Linked DNA regions of Rattus norvegicus. The protein of the gene in region 2 purifies or fractionates together with the protein of the main gene of each other region. This does not show direct contact. Links are inferred from orthologs where the notes say so. Each region holds a gene or a part of one and is shown on either strand. Other genes may lie near its edges.

What was found. Proteins that work in one complex are often made in the same cells at the same time.
Region 1: the proteins of Eno1 (region 2) and Fbxw7 purify together in Homo sapiens (affinity purification with western blotting; 3 studies listed by BioGRID, with this or other methods). This does not show direct contact. The link is inferred for Rattus norvegicus from reciprocal best matches to the Homo sapiens genes ENO1 and FBXW7.

Annotation. Positions count from the first base shown.
Region 1 is NC_086020.1:172,443,833-172,452,108, forward strand, and holds the start of Fbxw7 (F-box/WD repeat-containing protein 7), read left to right. Parts: upstream 1-3,905; 5' UTR 3,906-5,059; exon of another isoform or gene 5,060-5,093; intron 5,094-8,276. UniProt on the Homo sapiens protein: Substrate recognition component of a SCF (SKP1-CUL1-F-box protein) E3 ubiquitin-protein ligase complex which mediates the ubiquitination and subsequent proteasomal degradation of target proteins.
Region 2 is NC_086023.1:166,004,478-166,012,035, forward strand, and holds part of Eno1 (alpha-enolase), read left to right. Parts: intron 1-243; exon of another isoform or gene 244-295; intron 296-951; 5' UTR 952-960; coding exon 961-1,045; intron 1,046-2,796; coding exon 2,797-2,892; intron 2,893-3,587; coding exon of another isoform or gene 3,588-3,646; intron 3,647-3,934; coding exon 3,935-3,993; intron 3,994-5,655; coding exon 5,656-5,725; intron 5,726-5,892; coding exon 5,893-6,026; intron 6,027-6,496; coding exon 6,497-6,719; intron 6,720-7,558. UniProt on the Homo sapiens protein: Glycolytic enzyme the catalyzes the conversion of 2-phosphoglycerate to phosphoenolpyruvate. In addition to glycolysis, involved in various processes such as growth control, hypoxia tolerance and allergic responses.

The DNA.
Region 1 (8,276 bases), on a different chromosome or scaffold from region 2:
AGAGGTCTTGAGTTCAATTCCCAGCAACCATATGGTGGCCCACAACCATCTGTAATGGAATCCAGTGCCCTCTTCTGGTGTGTCTAAAGAGAGGGACAGTGTACTGATATACATAAATCTTAAAAAAAAAAGACACTGGAATTGTGGGCATTTCAGAGATTACACATTAAAAATAGAGGAATGTAATTGCTATCAATATAGTTGTGATGGCTATTCTTGGTTGTGAACTTGACTACAACTGGGATTAACTAAAACCCAAGAAGTTGGGTATATCTGTAAGGGAAATTTTCTTAAAAATTTTTTGAAGTGGGAAGACCTGCTTTTAATTGGATCTTCTGATGCGGGAAGACCTACCTTTAATCTGGGCCACACCTCCTATTGGTGGCCTATATAAAGCAAGTGGAAGAAGGAAGCTTGCTCTTTGAATGCTGGCTCTAGCTCGTATGGGTGAATCCATTCCTTCACTGGCAATAGAGCCCACTTATTTGGCATTCTAGTACATACTGAAAACCAGCTGAGGCATTCAGTCTCTGGACGGAACAATTACTAGATTCTCGGACCTTTCTTTGGTAGTCAGCCTTTGTTGGACTAGCTGGGCCATAGCCTATAAGCTGTTCTAATGAATCCCTTTTCTGGAAGTTCTGTTCCTGTAGAAAGAACCCTAATACAATAGTAGATATACAAAAGATCCTCAACAGAGTCAATAACTGGGGAAATGTAAGTTAAAATTGAATTGAGTTATGCTCTACACTCAGCAGGATGGGAAGATGGAGTTTTTGCCTTCGGTCGTGAGGTGTGGAGCAATGGCATTCCTCTAACTAATGTGACCCTATCATGTTAGACGACCGACCACAAAGCATGATTTATTCATGTTTATGACATACACTCTCAAGTACAGACTACACAGAAATTTATATAGATGGGATGGAGTAGAGACTTACGGAATATTTGCAACAGCATTTATAGTAGCCTGGAACTGAACCCAGACTCCTATCAAGAACAAAATGGCTAAACAAACTGTTATATATTGCTACAATGGAATACTGAATATTCAGGAATTAAAGGGAACAAATTTACAGCTATATGAACCTGAACAACATATGGGTTACATCAAGGTTGAGCAAATATGGTTAGCAGAACAGATTATACATATTATCTCCTTTACAGAACACTCACAAGAAAGGGAAAAATTAAACAACCTAATGCTTAGGGATGAACACCTGTGATAAAACAATAAAGAAAAGCAAGGAAACAATTGCCACAAATGTCAGAATAATGCTTACTCTCCCAGAAGGGAGAGCTGTGTTTAGGAAGGTCATTACAGGCTTTGGAGGCTTAGCAAACTCCACTTATTGGCCTGTTTGACTGCTTACATGGTAGTTTCTTTGATAATTACCCACAGCACACAATTGTCTTATGTTTTGAGTCTATTTCACAATGATGCTTAAAATTGGATGATGTGCTACGGTGCGTTTTTAGAAATTTTGCCGGTTAATCTGTTATATAGTGTTTAACAGTAGAAACCACTGATGTGGGATAATAAAACATTGAGTAGTTTCTTATACAAGCTCACTTTCAAGGGAAGAGTTATGAACCTTACACAGAGATCTCCTTGTCCCACTTTAACATAGTATATAGATGTTTATGACAAACTCGTAAGTCAGGAAAGAACCTGGTTAGTTGAAATACATTTTTCTGATTTACTTTTTGGAAATCTGATTTAGCGGCTATATTTCTCCTCTAGATTATCAGACAATATGAGGAACTAAAAGGATATACAACAAATTGGAGATGTATGAATTCCTTCCTCTCCAGCAGCCAGTTGTAGACAGCTGTTTACTCCTGTTACCAGGCTGGGCAAGGAGGAGAATGGACTTTCAGTGAGCGTTAGTGCAGCTACTATTCCTGAGGAGGTTGCTCAGGGCTCCTGTGAGTCTCATTCTGACCCTCACTGATGAGGTTCTAAATTGGAGCCACTGACAATGAGGCAGATCCGACTCTGACACTCCCCATGGTGCACTTCTCCGGAAGCATCCTTGGTTGTGGAGCTCTGATGTTTGTACTCTTTCCACTCAAAGTCCACAAACTTTAACTCTGAGGAGCTCAGCTTCCCCAAACTCCTCTGCACCTGTATTTTATTTAATTTCTGCTGTAAGGAGGAGAGTTCAACAAAAGGATTATGTTGCAGCTATGTTGGGCTATTGTTGAATTGATCTGATTCCCTGTGAATCTTACTGGAATACAGCCTGCGAATGGATCATGTTTGTAGACACTTAAATCCAGGGTAATTAGGGCAAGTTGTTTGACGCCTGGGATTTCAGGTAGAGTACAGAGGGTCTGGTGCAACTTGCCTCTTCTTGCTTTTGTGGCCTCCTCCTCTCTCCTTTACTCACTTTTTTTTTTTTTTTTTGGCTTTTGTCATCTCTGAACAAAAAAATGAACCCTTGATTTATCAACATAGACATTTTCTTGATCTATGTTGCATGAGGTGGTACAGCAGTGGCATAAACCTAGGCTTGCTTCTTAAATGTGTGCAGAGTGTGTTTGGCCCAATCTCCCATCACTGTTGCTTCCAGAGGGACGGGGTGCAGGCAGGTCCAGCCACACAACGGTTTCCCTTCATCTTAGCTGCTGCTTTAATCTCACTGTCAGACCGCTAAGAAGGGTAGGTTCAAGACAGATTTCTGAACACTGTGGTTCTTTATCTCGAAAATTCTTTTACTAGAGGACCATAGCTTAAATTTCATGAGTTTTTTCTTAAACTTATTTCCCAGACCAGAATCTGTAAGACAAACGGCTTAATAGATTTATTAATAACATACCTCTACCCCCCCACCCCCGGCCGCTAACACACACAGTGGGAGAGGGAGGGAGGAAGGGAGAGAGGAGAGGTATTGAGACTTGAGAGTCGCCAAAATGTTTTGAAGACGGTAAGGGGCACTCTGATGAACAAAATCAGCTCTCTAAAAAGTTCCCCCAAATCTAAACGACAAACAAGAATGACTCTTAAAAGGGAGGCTGTTTTCCAACCCTAGTAATTTCGCCTCCTTTCCCACAAAAGCCTGAAGTTGCGACTCTCAACAAACAGCCTCTCATCTCTTTCCTTTCATTGCATGTGGCGGGTGGGGGTGAGGAGGGAGATGTATTACAACTCTCACGTTTCTACACTTCAATTTACAAAACGCTTGCGCTTCCACCATCACCTCGGAGTTCCGCTAAGGCTGTGCTAGAGGCAGGCTTGTATACACTTATACACACACACACACACACACACACACACACACACACACTCACTCACTCACTCACTCACTCACTCACTACACAGAATGCAGCGCCAGGTTTCACCCCACGCCACGGGAAGGGTGGGGTGGCTCGCTCCGGGGAGCAGGTGCAACCTCTGGGCTGTAGGTTAACTTTTCCACCCGTCTCTCTGTTTGAAGATCTGCTCCGGACCAAATGCCTCACCTTCGGGTGGTGCGCGCCCTAGCCCGGTCCCTGGCCTCCTCCTCACTCCCAGAGGAGCAGTTCGCACCTGCCCCGGAGGGAACGGCTACGGAGCTCTCTCTCCGCGCCCTAGGGTCAGGGGTAAGATTAGGCGGTAGCTTAGGCTCGCCTGGGCTCCTCCCCTTCCTCTCTTCAGTTCTGACGCGGCCGTAGAGGCGGCGGCGGAGGCAGCGGCGGCGGTAGCAGCAGCAGTCCCGCGGCCCGAGGCGCACCCACCCGCTCCCAGATCTCGACTTCCTTTTCCCTTTGTGCGTCATCAGAACGCGCCACAGCCTCCCAGGGCGGGGTGGCTGGAGATGGGGAGAAAAGGCCAGCAAAGGAAGGCGCAGAGTGGAAGGGGAAGGGAGGGAGAGGAGAGCGGTTGCTAGGCGACTTACGTCATCGCTGGGCGCCGCTCTCCTCCCGCCCCTCTCTGGAGTGAGGCGAGAGCCCCGCACAGAGCGAGAGAGACAGCGAGCTGAGCTTCGGGCGCTGCCGCCGCCGCCGGTGAGAGCGAGTGAGTGAGCGAGCGAGCATCCGAGAGACCCGGCACCCGTGCACTGGCCGCCGCCGAGACCTTCGCCGCAGCCCGGGCCATCGGGAGCCGTGGCCGCCGTCTGCTCCCCCCCTTACCTTCCCGGCCGGCAGCGGCTGCTGCACACGCCGAAGCGGGAGCCCCAGCCAGAGCCGGAGCCAGAGCCGGAGCCGGAGCCCGCGGCCGGGGGGCAGGGAGGCGGCTGCCGCCGGTCGGGACTCGTAGCTGCTCAGCCGGGAGAGGACGCCCGCGAGGGGCTGGGCTTTCTGCCTCGCCCCGGAGTGTGGGGCGAAGGACCCCCCGAGGTGTAGGGAGGGGGTCCCGGCCGCCGCGACACATGCGGGAGCCGGGAGCGGGGGCGGCGCCGATCCGAGCCCGCCGGGTCCCCAGCCTTGCCGCCGTCCAGACCGGCCGACCCGGGCCGTAGCATCCCATAGCGGAGTGTATGAACCGGGGCCCCCAGCCCAGGAGCCACCTCCGGGCCGGGGGGGCGGGGACCCCGATGTGAAACGGCCGCGGCGGCGTGGTGAGCGGCCCGGGCGCCGCTGTCCTCTCCTTCCCCTCCCCTCCCCTTCACCCCCTCTGGGGGGCTTCTCCTTGGGCCCGCCGCCGCACCCCGGCTCCTCGGCGGGACTCCAGGAGTTCTCGGCGCCCCCTCCCCGCCCCAGCCCCCCAGGGCGGCGGGGCCGGGGGGGACTCGGGGGGCCGGCTGCAGCCTCCGCCCAGAGGAAACTTTACCCAAACAAAATCTTCGAGCTTTCTGATTGTGACTGTCCCGGGACAAGTGGCCCAGGACGGGCTGAAGCCACAGCCTGCAGAGACCCAGGAAGAGAAAAAGCGGTGAGCGGGGCTGCTGCCGCTGCCGCCGCCGCCGCCTCAGCTTCTATCCCGGCAGCGCGGAAGAGACCCGGGTAGCTGCTCCGTGGAGCGACGCTAGCACCGCTTCTTAGTTCCGCGCCTAGCCTTCCGCAGCTGCCCGCCTCAGCCCGAAGGAGGAAGGGAGCCAGCCACATTGTCAGCGCCACCGCTCGTCTCTGAAGCGTGAGTGGACCCGAAGGAGGGGGGACATTATAAGGTGACAAGTGGGAGCGGGTGGGTGCTTTGATGGTGGAGTTGGGCTGTTTCTCGGGAGGGTTGGCAGTGGAGACCTTTCCTTTCTAATTTCGGGAGAAAGCGTCAGTTTGCAGGAGTAATGCAAGTACTCGGGCGTTTTTCTTAGAGGAGCTGTGTGGACAGCTCTGTCCTCTACCTTTTTCTGGCAACCTGATTCTGGCAGTGGTTTTTGTTTCAGGGAAACTCCCATGGATTCCCACGTGGGAATCACTTGAATCAACTCTTATTTTATTTTATTTTTTTTCCTTTCCTAACTATTGTTTTTGAAGTTGCCCTGGTCAGGAAGACCAATTTTGATTTTAGTGCAAAGAGGGGTTTGGTGCCCCCAGCGCTTTATTTCATAAGTCCACAGACTCCAATGTGTAGAGTCCTTGTTTGCATGTTTCATTTGGCTCAGGAGAATCCGAGTTCCTAGGATGCACAACTCGCTGAAACTTATTTCAGGGAGAGCACTTGCAACTTCTCTCTCTCTCTCTCTTTCTCTCTCTCTCTCTCTCTCTCTCTCTCTCTCTCTCTCTCGTCATCTATTTTAAGTGATAACACATTTCTACTAGGGACTGAAAGGACATGCATGCTGCTTTTCTTATTTGGCTCTACTTGTCAACATAGAAACTTGTACTCTTTTAAGAAAGCACTTAGCACACTGAGTGCTAAATTAGAGGTACAGAAAAGTAATGTTTCAACTATGTAAGGTTAAACTAAACATCTTAAGGCAAGTACTGTGGGATTTTGTGTAACAAGGAACATAGGCAGTGTAAGACTGAGAACGCCGGTCCACCCAGACAACTAAATTTGGGCAGAATAGAGATCCTCCGTAGAAATGAATGGAAACCTGGGAGTATCCATTTATCTATCCACCCATTCTAATCTCTCCATTTAGGATCTTGATTAAATTTCTTTGAAAGTTTCTCACACTTCACAATGTTCTCCCCTCCTCTTCTTAAAGTAAGGAACCTTCAAGTTTATTATTCTGCACTATGTAACAATTTACTTCTCTTTGTCCTGCCTTCTCAATCTTTCAGGATACAGTTTCTTTGAGGAATGCTAAAACACTGTGAGCTAATCTTACATTTCTTATAGACTTTGTTTGATTTCTCCTATCATCTGTTCCAACTTTTTTTTTTTTTTTTTTTTTTTTTTTAGTTTACAGGTTTCAGGTTGTTTATTTCAGTGGAAGTTGAATAAATATATTCAGTGGTCACAGTATTGTCATCCTATCCTCTGACACAGATATATTATCTTGATCTAAAACAAAATTAATTTTTGCACATAACCAGAGGCCCATATTCCACCATGGTCTTTAATAATCAATGAACCTAACTGTGGCCCTTTGTTCCAACTTTTTTTAAAAGACAGTTTTACTATGTTACCTTGACTGTCCTGGAATTATCTCTGTAGACCAGGCTGGCCTAGTATTCACAGAGATGTACCTGCTTCTGCCTTCTAAGTGCTGGCTGGAATTAAAAGGTGTGTGTCCTGACTGCCAGCCATGTTGAAACTTTTGTGGCCCCCCAAACCCCATTTCTTTGGCTATCTTTCCCCTCTTTCTGGGTCTTCTAGCTCTTTATGTTTTGTTAGATACTTTGTTCTTCTTATGCTTTTACAAGACACCTTACATTCTACTTAAGTGGCATGAAAATATTGAATGGTAAATTTCTTTAGATTTAGAATAAAACACATTTTTTGATTTGCTAACCTTACTTTGTTACCCTGAGAAAGTCATGTATTCCAGCTTTGAAAAAGATGATACTTGAGAAACTTAGACTTGCATAGTTTGCTTCTTGGAAAGAAGGAGAGAATAAACCAAGAAGTGGTACTTTGAGTTTGTATTGCATCTGGTCAAAGTTGCTTACCAACTGGAGGACCTGCTTTGTGGGAAAACTGGTTTTAAATTGTGGAAATACTTTACTGTAATAAGAAATAAGTAATAAGAAAACATTTGCTACTTTCAGTCTTTGAGGGTGCCTTTTCTTACCAATACCAGAGGCAATCAATATAAATTGTACAAAACTTTAGGAAAGATTGGGCTGGTGTGATAGCTCCGTGGGTAAAGCTGCTTGCTGCATAAGTCTAAGGACATGTAGTCCAGCGGTGGAAGGAGAAAACTTAACTGTACAGAGTTGTCCTCTGACCTGTGCTGTGTGCATGAACATGTAGTAGTAGTAGTAGTAGTAGTAGTAGTAGTAGTAGTAGTAGTAGTAGTGTGGCAGTAGTAGTAAAAATAAATACATTTCTTAAAAATGTCAGAAAGGGGGACATGTGTCGCCATTATTACTCTTAAGATTACTATATGTCAGGGAATGCCATTGCACATTTTTATTAGGGAAATACTGATTTTGGATGACCCAGGAATAATTGGAGTGTCTGAGCCAAATCGTGGAAAGGCTCTTTTAGGAAGAAAAGAGCGTACACAAACAAAACTAAAGACTTAGAGTCAGAGTATGTAAAAGGGGAGATCTAATTGGGAAGCTAGTTTGAAAGGAATACCTACTGAGTGGGGAGGTTCTTGACTAGGGTTAAGGCCAGTTTGTGCTGTTTAAAAGAATTTGAAAACTGTTCCAAAGAAGGTAGTTTCGATTGTGAGAAATCATATTTTAGGACAGACATTATACTGGCTTTAGGATTTTGTTTCATTAGGAGATTAACATTTTTACACTATGGTCATCTAGGGGGCAGCACAGGAGACATGAAAAAGGCAATTTGAATGCTTTTTAGCATGGTGCTAGTAGTTGCTCATGAGCAAATCAGAAACAAGGTAGCAGACTGCTTTGGATGTTGAATTTTGGGTTAAGAGCTGGGTATCCATATAGTTCCCGTGTTAGCTCATTGTTTCTTCTCTCTCTTTAAAACTCTTTTTTCCCTTTCTTTCTCCTCTTTTGACTCTTTCTCTTGTGCCAGGCTGACCTTGAACTTGCTGTGTACTTTTTACTTGTAATCGCCCTGTCTGGACTTCCTGAATGCTAAATGGACTGGTGTGTGCTGCCCGCCATTTCTTGTTTTGTAGTGCTGGGGATAGAACCTCGGGCTTTGTGCATGCTAGGCAGGTACTTTACCAACTGAGCTACATCCTCAGGACCCACCCCACGTAGCTTTCAAGACTGCCAAGTAGTTTGGGTAATATGCTGACAGTGCAGGTGGATGGGAG
Region 2 (7,558 bases):
GGTCAGCTTGGCCTACATAGGAAGTGCAGGTGTGAGATTTTATAACAGTGGATAAAAAGTGGGTACTTTATTCCTGGTTAGTGAATAAAGGTCCTTTGTCTTAGAGAAGACAAGCACAGAAGTAACTTATATTGAAACAAAAAGTATGCCTTTGCTTCCTTGACCTCACCAGAAAAGGTGTAGGGAACCTATTTAGATAACAGCTTCCGAATGCTAATTGTCTTAATGTCTCATCCAATTTAGTTCTAGAAGCCGTTTGGTAGATTCCTTTCTTGGAAAGCCTGCTGGGGAAGAAGTAAGAAAGGGACCTTCTTTTTAGACTTGCTGTTTGTTGCTCAATATCCTCTTTCTCTGGGGTGTTTTCTAATTAGACATCTACTTTGGGTACCTTTTAAAGGCGAGACAAGGTCTCCCTTTGAAATAGAAGTCAACTCTTGCCTAAATATGGCGGCCATTGAACCCAGGACCGCCCACGTGTTAGGCATCTAGCCTGCATGTGCCACCGGGCTAGAGAATGGCAGTACTGATGACCACCAGCCAAGGAGTTTGGGATTCTGCCTTCCTCTCACAATTTCTTACTGGTTATCAAATCTGTGTCTGCTGAATGTTCTGCCCTTGCCATGGGTACAACTTGATGAATTGGGGTTTCTGTTTCCACAATCACCCTGCTTCACAATGTTGCATTTCCCTCCGGTCTACAGGTCTGTTTAATCGCTGACCTGCCTTCTCTGTTACTTCCCACTTCGCTGCGCAGCCAGAACATAGTTCTGTCCAGTTTGTATTTACCTAATTGCCCACAGAACACTTAGCTTCAGAGGGCTATAAGTGACTTCTGTACGTAGCCCACTTGTTCTCTGTCCAGGTCCAGGATCTTGGGGGTGATCTCTTGGGATAAATAAACCTTCTATATTAGAGTTTATGGGTAATATATGAACTATTTTCCCCCTACAGAACTTCACCATGTCCATTCTCAAGATCCATGCCAGAGAGATCTTTGACTCCCGCGGGAATCCCACCGTTGAGGTGGATCTCTACACCGCAAAAGGTACACGAACCCACATTATTTCCTGGTCTCTTGCACCACAGTTTATTGATAATGTGATGGGGAAGCAAGGCAGAGTCTGATCTACTCTGATCCCTCTGAGCCTTCCACCCACTGAGCCATCTGCCACCATGTCTGGCTTTGCTTCTTGGTATTTAAGACAGGATGTGGGTTGGGTAGGTCACCGGGGCAGGGAAGTAAGGGAGGGCTTAAGCCCTGGCTCCTGAAGAAGCCTGGCCTCCTGATCGGATCAGCCAATGGAGGGGGAAGCCTTCTCTCCCCACATGAAAGGAAGGAGACAGCCCGGAAGCTCTGCTTTTTCCTCTAGGCCAAGCTACCCATGGTGAGGAACTCGTGTGTTATAAGGGAGTGGGGATATAGTTTGGCAGAGCATTTGCTTAATATGTGGGAAGTCCTAAATTTAAATCACAGCATTGCAAGGAGAGATTGGCTGGGTGTGGCAGCGACTACCATAAATCTCAGCACTTGGGCCTGCTCAGGAGGGAGGATTGCCAGTTTTGAGACTAGCCTGGGCTACATAGCAAGGCCCTGTTTCTACTACTCAGAGACAAAACAAAAAAAAAGCCCACCCCTGCTGATTCCAGCATCTAGATGTAGAGATGCATGTAGTGGGTGCCATAGGAAAGAGGCCTGGGGAAGATGTAGCAACGTCTTACAGAGCTCACAAGCTCACCAGTCTGGGCTGAGTCATTGTGTGACTCAGAATTCAAGCACCAGAGCCCAGCCCTACCTACCCGTTGTCCCAGGAAATGAGGGATCCTCAAATCACCAGCATGTGCCTGCTTGTTGGCCGCCATTGTCTTTGCCAGGGGTTCTCAGCTGTGTTCTGGCAATGTTTCCTGGTGAATACCAGGAATGCTAGGTAGCATCAGGTGTCAGATAGCAGGGTTTGGCTCCACCTGCTGGTGACATCGTGCATGACAAGGTGTCTGATAGCAGGAGATGGCTCCACCTGCTGGTGCAGCTTTACCCCTAAATTGACTTTTTTTTTCTTTTCTTTTTTTTTTCTGGGGCTGGGGACCAAACCAGGACCTGGCACTTCCTAGGCAAGCGCTCTACCACTGAGCCAAATCCCCAACCCCCTAAATTGACATTTAAACAGTCAAACAAGACGGGTGTCTTAACTGTAGCTCTTTAGAATCTTTATGCTTTCGCCTGCCAATGAAAAGCGCTTTTTACGATAATTAGTTTATCTTGCCATAAGATTTCCTGTGTATGTAGCCTACACTGAAGTCAAGTCCTCAGTCTTAGGTGCTGAGATTGGAACTGTGGACCAAGATATTTGGGGAGGTGATTCAGTTAGGAAAATGCCTGCTGTGCAGACATGAGGCTCAGCGTCCAACCCCCAGGACCCACATAAGAACCCAGGCCTGGGGATTATGTGTCACCCTAGTCCGTGTACCCAGCTTTTGCACTGTGAATCTATGTGTCTGTGGCCACTGACAAGCCTTGCCTCACCTAGGCCAGGACCATCTGGATATGCAGGAAGTCAGGGTGGGCACAGACAGTGCTACCTTGCATGTCCCTCACTCAGGAAGTTGTGTTCACTCTGTATAAAGAGTGGTGTGGAAGACTCAGGCGGGTGAGAAGGCTGTCGTGTTTCTGAGTGAGGATTTACTAACTGGGGACTTGGAGGTACAAGAATTTCTTTGGTCCCAGTTGGCTTCAGACACGGATCCTCCTGTGTATTGGGACTGCCCAATGTTGAATTTCTTTCCCCCCACTGTTCCCAGGTCTCTTCCGTGCTGCGGTGCCCAGCGGTGCGTCCACTGGCATCTACGAGGCCCTAGAACTCCGAGACAATGATAAGACCCGCTTCATGGGGAAGGGTAAGGATAGGAACTTAGTCTCATCTGCACGCACCAACCTCTTCCCCTCCCAGGCATTCACCCACAGCACTGCTGAGCACTGCCATCAGGAAAGCAGCAGGGCAGCTTACCCTCGCCTTCCTCCCACAAGGGACTGATGCCGTCACTGGTGTCCAGTTGACAGGATCAGCCTGATCAAACAAGCTCCCAGATCTCTGGCCTTCAGATCTTTAAGATTGGTGTGGCTCTGACCTTTGTTATGTAAGTGGAGTCTGCTCCCCCCCCCAGGTGCTGCAGAGTTGGGCCCTGCCCTTTTCTCTGATAACACCCCCCTGCAGAGTCTGGCCTTTCTTTTTTTCTTTTTTTTTTTTTTTTTTTTGGTTCTTTTTTTCGGAGGTGGGGACCGAACCCAGGGCCTTGCGCTTCCTAGGCAAGCGCTCTACCACTAAGCTAAATCCCCAACCTCCAGTCTGGTCTTTCTAGGGAAAGTCCATTACTGTAACCAATAGTGGTGAGAGCGGGAATTGAAATCTCCAAAGAGAGGTTGTGTCAGGGGGTCTCAGGGCTAAGGAGCCAGCCAGCATTAGAGCCAGCCAGCATTAGAAGCCTGACTACTGAAGCACCCCTGCCTCCTTCCTTCACTTTCTTTCCTCTGTGTCCTCTGAATCCTTTCTCTCCTGAGTCTTTTTCCTTCTCTATTCACCTCTAATGGGTAGGCGTCTCCAGACCTGTTAAATATGTTAATGAGTTCCTGGCACCAGCCTTGTGCACTCAGGTAACACGCTGGGCATCCTGGTGTGCAGCTGGGTTTCCCAGTGCATGGTCTTGAACTAATACCCCCCCCCAGCACTCTGGTCATGGCTCTTGGTGTGGCTTTAACCCCCTGGGGTGCTAGGGAAGAGGACTCAGACTGGGACAGAAAGCCCCATTCTGGGGGATGGGGGTTTAACAAGATCCTGTGGAGGCTCTTCGGGCTTCTGGGCCCAGGACTCCGGTGCTCCAGCGAGGCTGCTCAAGCCTGTGTACTGTAATTGTGTAAGTAATTTCATGATTGTTCTTCTAGGTGTCTCAAAGGCTGTTGAGCACATCAATAAAACTATTGCACCTGCTCTGGTTAGCAAGGTAGGACCCATCCCCTGTAACTACTGTGTATCCATGCCACCAGAGCAAGGGCCAGGCCTCTCCTCTTCACAAGAATTGCTTATTCTGAGAGCTTTGGAAGCTGGCATGAGTCTAACCTGCCTGCTGCCAGTGTGTGCCATTGCTTCTGAAAGCGCCTGAATCTGGGGCAGGGTGGGGAGTGCTTGACATGTTTCCATATGCTCTCCTGACCTTTGTGTGTCATGGGACTTTGTTCAAGGCAGTAGTGGGACTTTGGAATTTATTGCTCTGTTGGATGGCTTTGTTACAGACTGGGTGGGACTGGGGATGTAGGTGGAAGCAGGTGCCTGCAATTCTAGTATAAGGAGATAGAACTCCACCCCAGCCTCCATCTTTTTTGATGTGTACATACTGAGTGCTAAGCCCTGAATTCAACCCTTTCCCCACTTTAAAACATCCTCATTTGAGGCTGGAAGGGAAGCTCAGTAGAGCAGCGCTTGCCCTTCAGGAGCTGAGGTTGGTCCCAGCACCAGTGTGAGGTGGCTCACAGCCAGCTGAGATTGTGGCTCCAGGCATAAGGCACTGTACCTGGTCAGTGTGAGGGACATGGGCCACAGCTTGTCCCTGGACAGTGTGTGTGCTGCCTTTGTGGTCCTATCCCAGTCGCTTCTCAGAGGGACCACCGGCCATCATCATCTCTGTTTGCTAACATTTAGTTCCTCCCTCTTGAATCACAGATTGGCCCTGTATCATCCATTTTGTCCCCAGCGAGCCTGTAACAAACACTGATTGGTTCTTTGTCTGGTCCCCAGACAGTTGCTCATTACAACTGCCGGCTCCAGTCTCCTGGGCGCCTCCTTGTGCGCCCACTGTCCCGTCATCCCTAGGCCCTCCTTGAATTGAACACTCTTGGGAGGTTTAGCCTCTGGGAACTTTCTGCTTGGGCAAATGTTTGCCTTCAACAATGCCTTGTCAAACAACAGCAAGGGCTGACCACTCACACGCACAGCACCGCAGGGATGTGTATTTTACATAGTGTCTGTGAATGAATATACAGTGATGTACTTGCATGTGTAGTATGGACCATGTGCATGTCTGGGGTAGCCAGGAAAGAGCATAAGATCATTTGCATTAGCAACAAGTGTTCTAACAGCTGAGCCATCTCCAGCACCCACATGCGCTGTTTGATTGAAACAGTTTATTGCTTCATATAACACTCCCCAAAATAGCCATGTTTACCAATCAAGTATTTGGTAAGGTGATCCTGGACAACCTGTGTTCTCACCAAACAATGGTGTTCTGTCCTTGTCTTGGCCAAGAGCTTTAGAGGTGGTAGCCTCTGCAGACCTCTGCCTGCTTGAATGAACAATGAACTTTATTAATTTTTATCCAAGAACACCCTTGTGTGTAGCCTAGGTAGACTGTAGTCTTTGAACAGGAAATGCCTGGAGCTGTTGAATAGAGCGAGTGAAGCGAGGTTTTGTTTTCTCTCTGCTCTACCCCTTCAGGGTGTCGAGCCAGTCTTTGGCAAACGTTGAGAAGCTCCATTGCTGAGCTCTACTCCCAGCCCCATGGCCACAGACTTAGTGCACATAATTCCCAGGGTTCCCAGGGTTCTGAAGAGCTGCTTGGTGGGAGAGTGGGGTCAAGTGGTAGCTGAGCCCTCACTTCCTGTCTCTCCAGAAACTGAATGTTGTGGAGCAGGAGAAGATTGACCAGCTGATGATCGAGATGGACGGCACAGAGAATAAATGTGAGTGCACAGGGGGAGCTGTTCCTCAGTGGTCGGTTGGAGATTCGTAATCAGCCACTTGTGGATTCAACACGCGAATCTCCAGGAGGGCGGGTGGGCCATTTATGCAGCCCAGTGGGAAACAGGCTAAGAAATGGCCCCTGCTCACCATTTTCATTCTATTCCAGCTAAGTTTGGTGCAAATGCCATCCTGGGAGTGTCCCTGGCTGTCTGCAAGGCTGGTGCCGTGGAGAAGGGGGTGCCCCTTTACCGTCACATTGCCGACTTGGCCGGCAACCCTGAAGTCATCCTGCCGGTCCCAGTGAGTGACTTTGACACTAAGTCTGTCTTGTTTTCCTTTCTGTTGCTACAGTAAAATATCCCAAGAAAAAGCAGCTGGGGAAAGGAAGTGTTTGGTTTATTACCGTTCCCGACTACAACCCTTCGTATTAGAGAAGTCAGGGCAGCAGTGAAGCCTTAGGTTACAGTCAGGGCAGACAGGAAGCTGGCAGGACTGCACCTTCCTTCCATCAGCGTTTGGGAGGGTCACAGTTAGCACTAACCATGGCGGGGCTGAGAGTGCGGCCATAGGTACCCACAAGGACCCTCCTGCTTATTGTGTGTGTTGATGCCCAGCACAATAAGGGGATAATTCTTAGAAGAGTCCTAGTGAGCATTTGGAGACCGCGTTCATAGGGACCAACTGGCAGCTATGGAGTTCAGGGGCTTCATGCCCTGTGGTGGGTCTCCCTTGTCCTCCCTGGGTGGGTGACATCACTCCTGTCCTCCTAGGCTTTCAATGTGATCAACGGCGGTTCTCATGCTGGCAACAAGTTGGCCATGCAAGAGTTCATGATCCTGCCTGTGGGGGCATCCTCTTTCCGGGAAGCCATGCGCATTGGAGCAGAGGTTTACCACAACCTGAAGAACGTCATCAAGGAGAAGTACGGGAAAGACGCCACCAATGTGGGTGATGAGGGTGGATTCGCACCTAACATCCTGGAGAACAAAGAAGGTAGAGACGTTGGGAACTATGTTGTGCTGTCCACTCGACCTGCCGCTTAAGAGCTTTGGGGGTTTTGGGTTTTTTTTGTTTGTTTGTTGTTTGTGTCTTTGCTATATTATTGGGTAGCTGGAGGCAGGTCCTAGATCACCTAGAGCTAGAGTTCATAAGTAAGCCACCGTGTGCTGGTAATTGACCTGGATTCTAATTTTGTGTATGTGGGTGCGCCTGCCATCAGCATGGCCATCCATCCACTGTGGCCTGGGGACTCAAACCTCCATCAGCCATCTTACAGGCACTCTGTGACCTCAGACCTGTATAGAATGCACACCCAGCTCTGGGGTCTGGCAGGTAGCAGAAGGTGTATGTCTACTCTAATACTCTTTTTTTATTCATTTATTATATAAGTACACTGTAGCTGTCTTCAGACCAGAAGAGGGTATTGGATCTCTTTACAGATGGTTGTGAGCCACCATGTGGTTGCTGGGAATTGAACTCAGGAACTCTGGAAGAGCAGTCGGGGCTCTTTACCTCTGAGCCATCTCTCCAGCCCTACTCTAATACTCTTGCAGCTTGACTTGAGGTGGCTCTTGTGAGGCTTCCCTTTCGGGGCCCCGCCTCTGTCCTCAGGACAGGTGATCTCAGCTGGTCACTGTAGCTGCATCTGCTCAGCTGCCCTGGCACTAAGTTTGGTGGGACCTTTGACCACAAGAAAGGCTGTGTTAGATGCAATATGACTTTGCCACTTAGTAGGCCCAGTGTCCCTGACCAGTAGCTTTGACCCACGGTAGGAATAAAACCCCAGCCAGGACAGAGTCCGCCCTGCTCTTGAAGACACTGCTGGCAGCTGT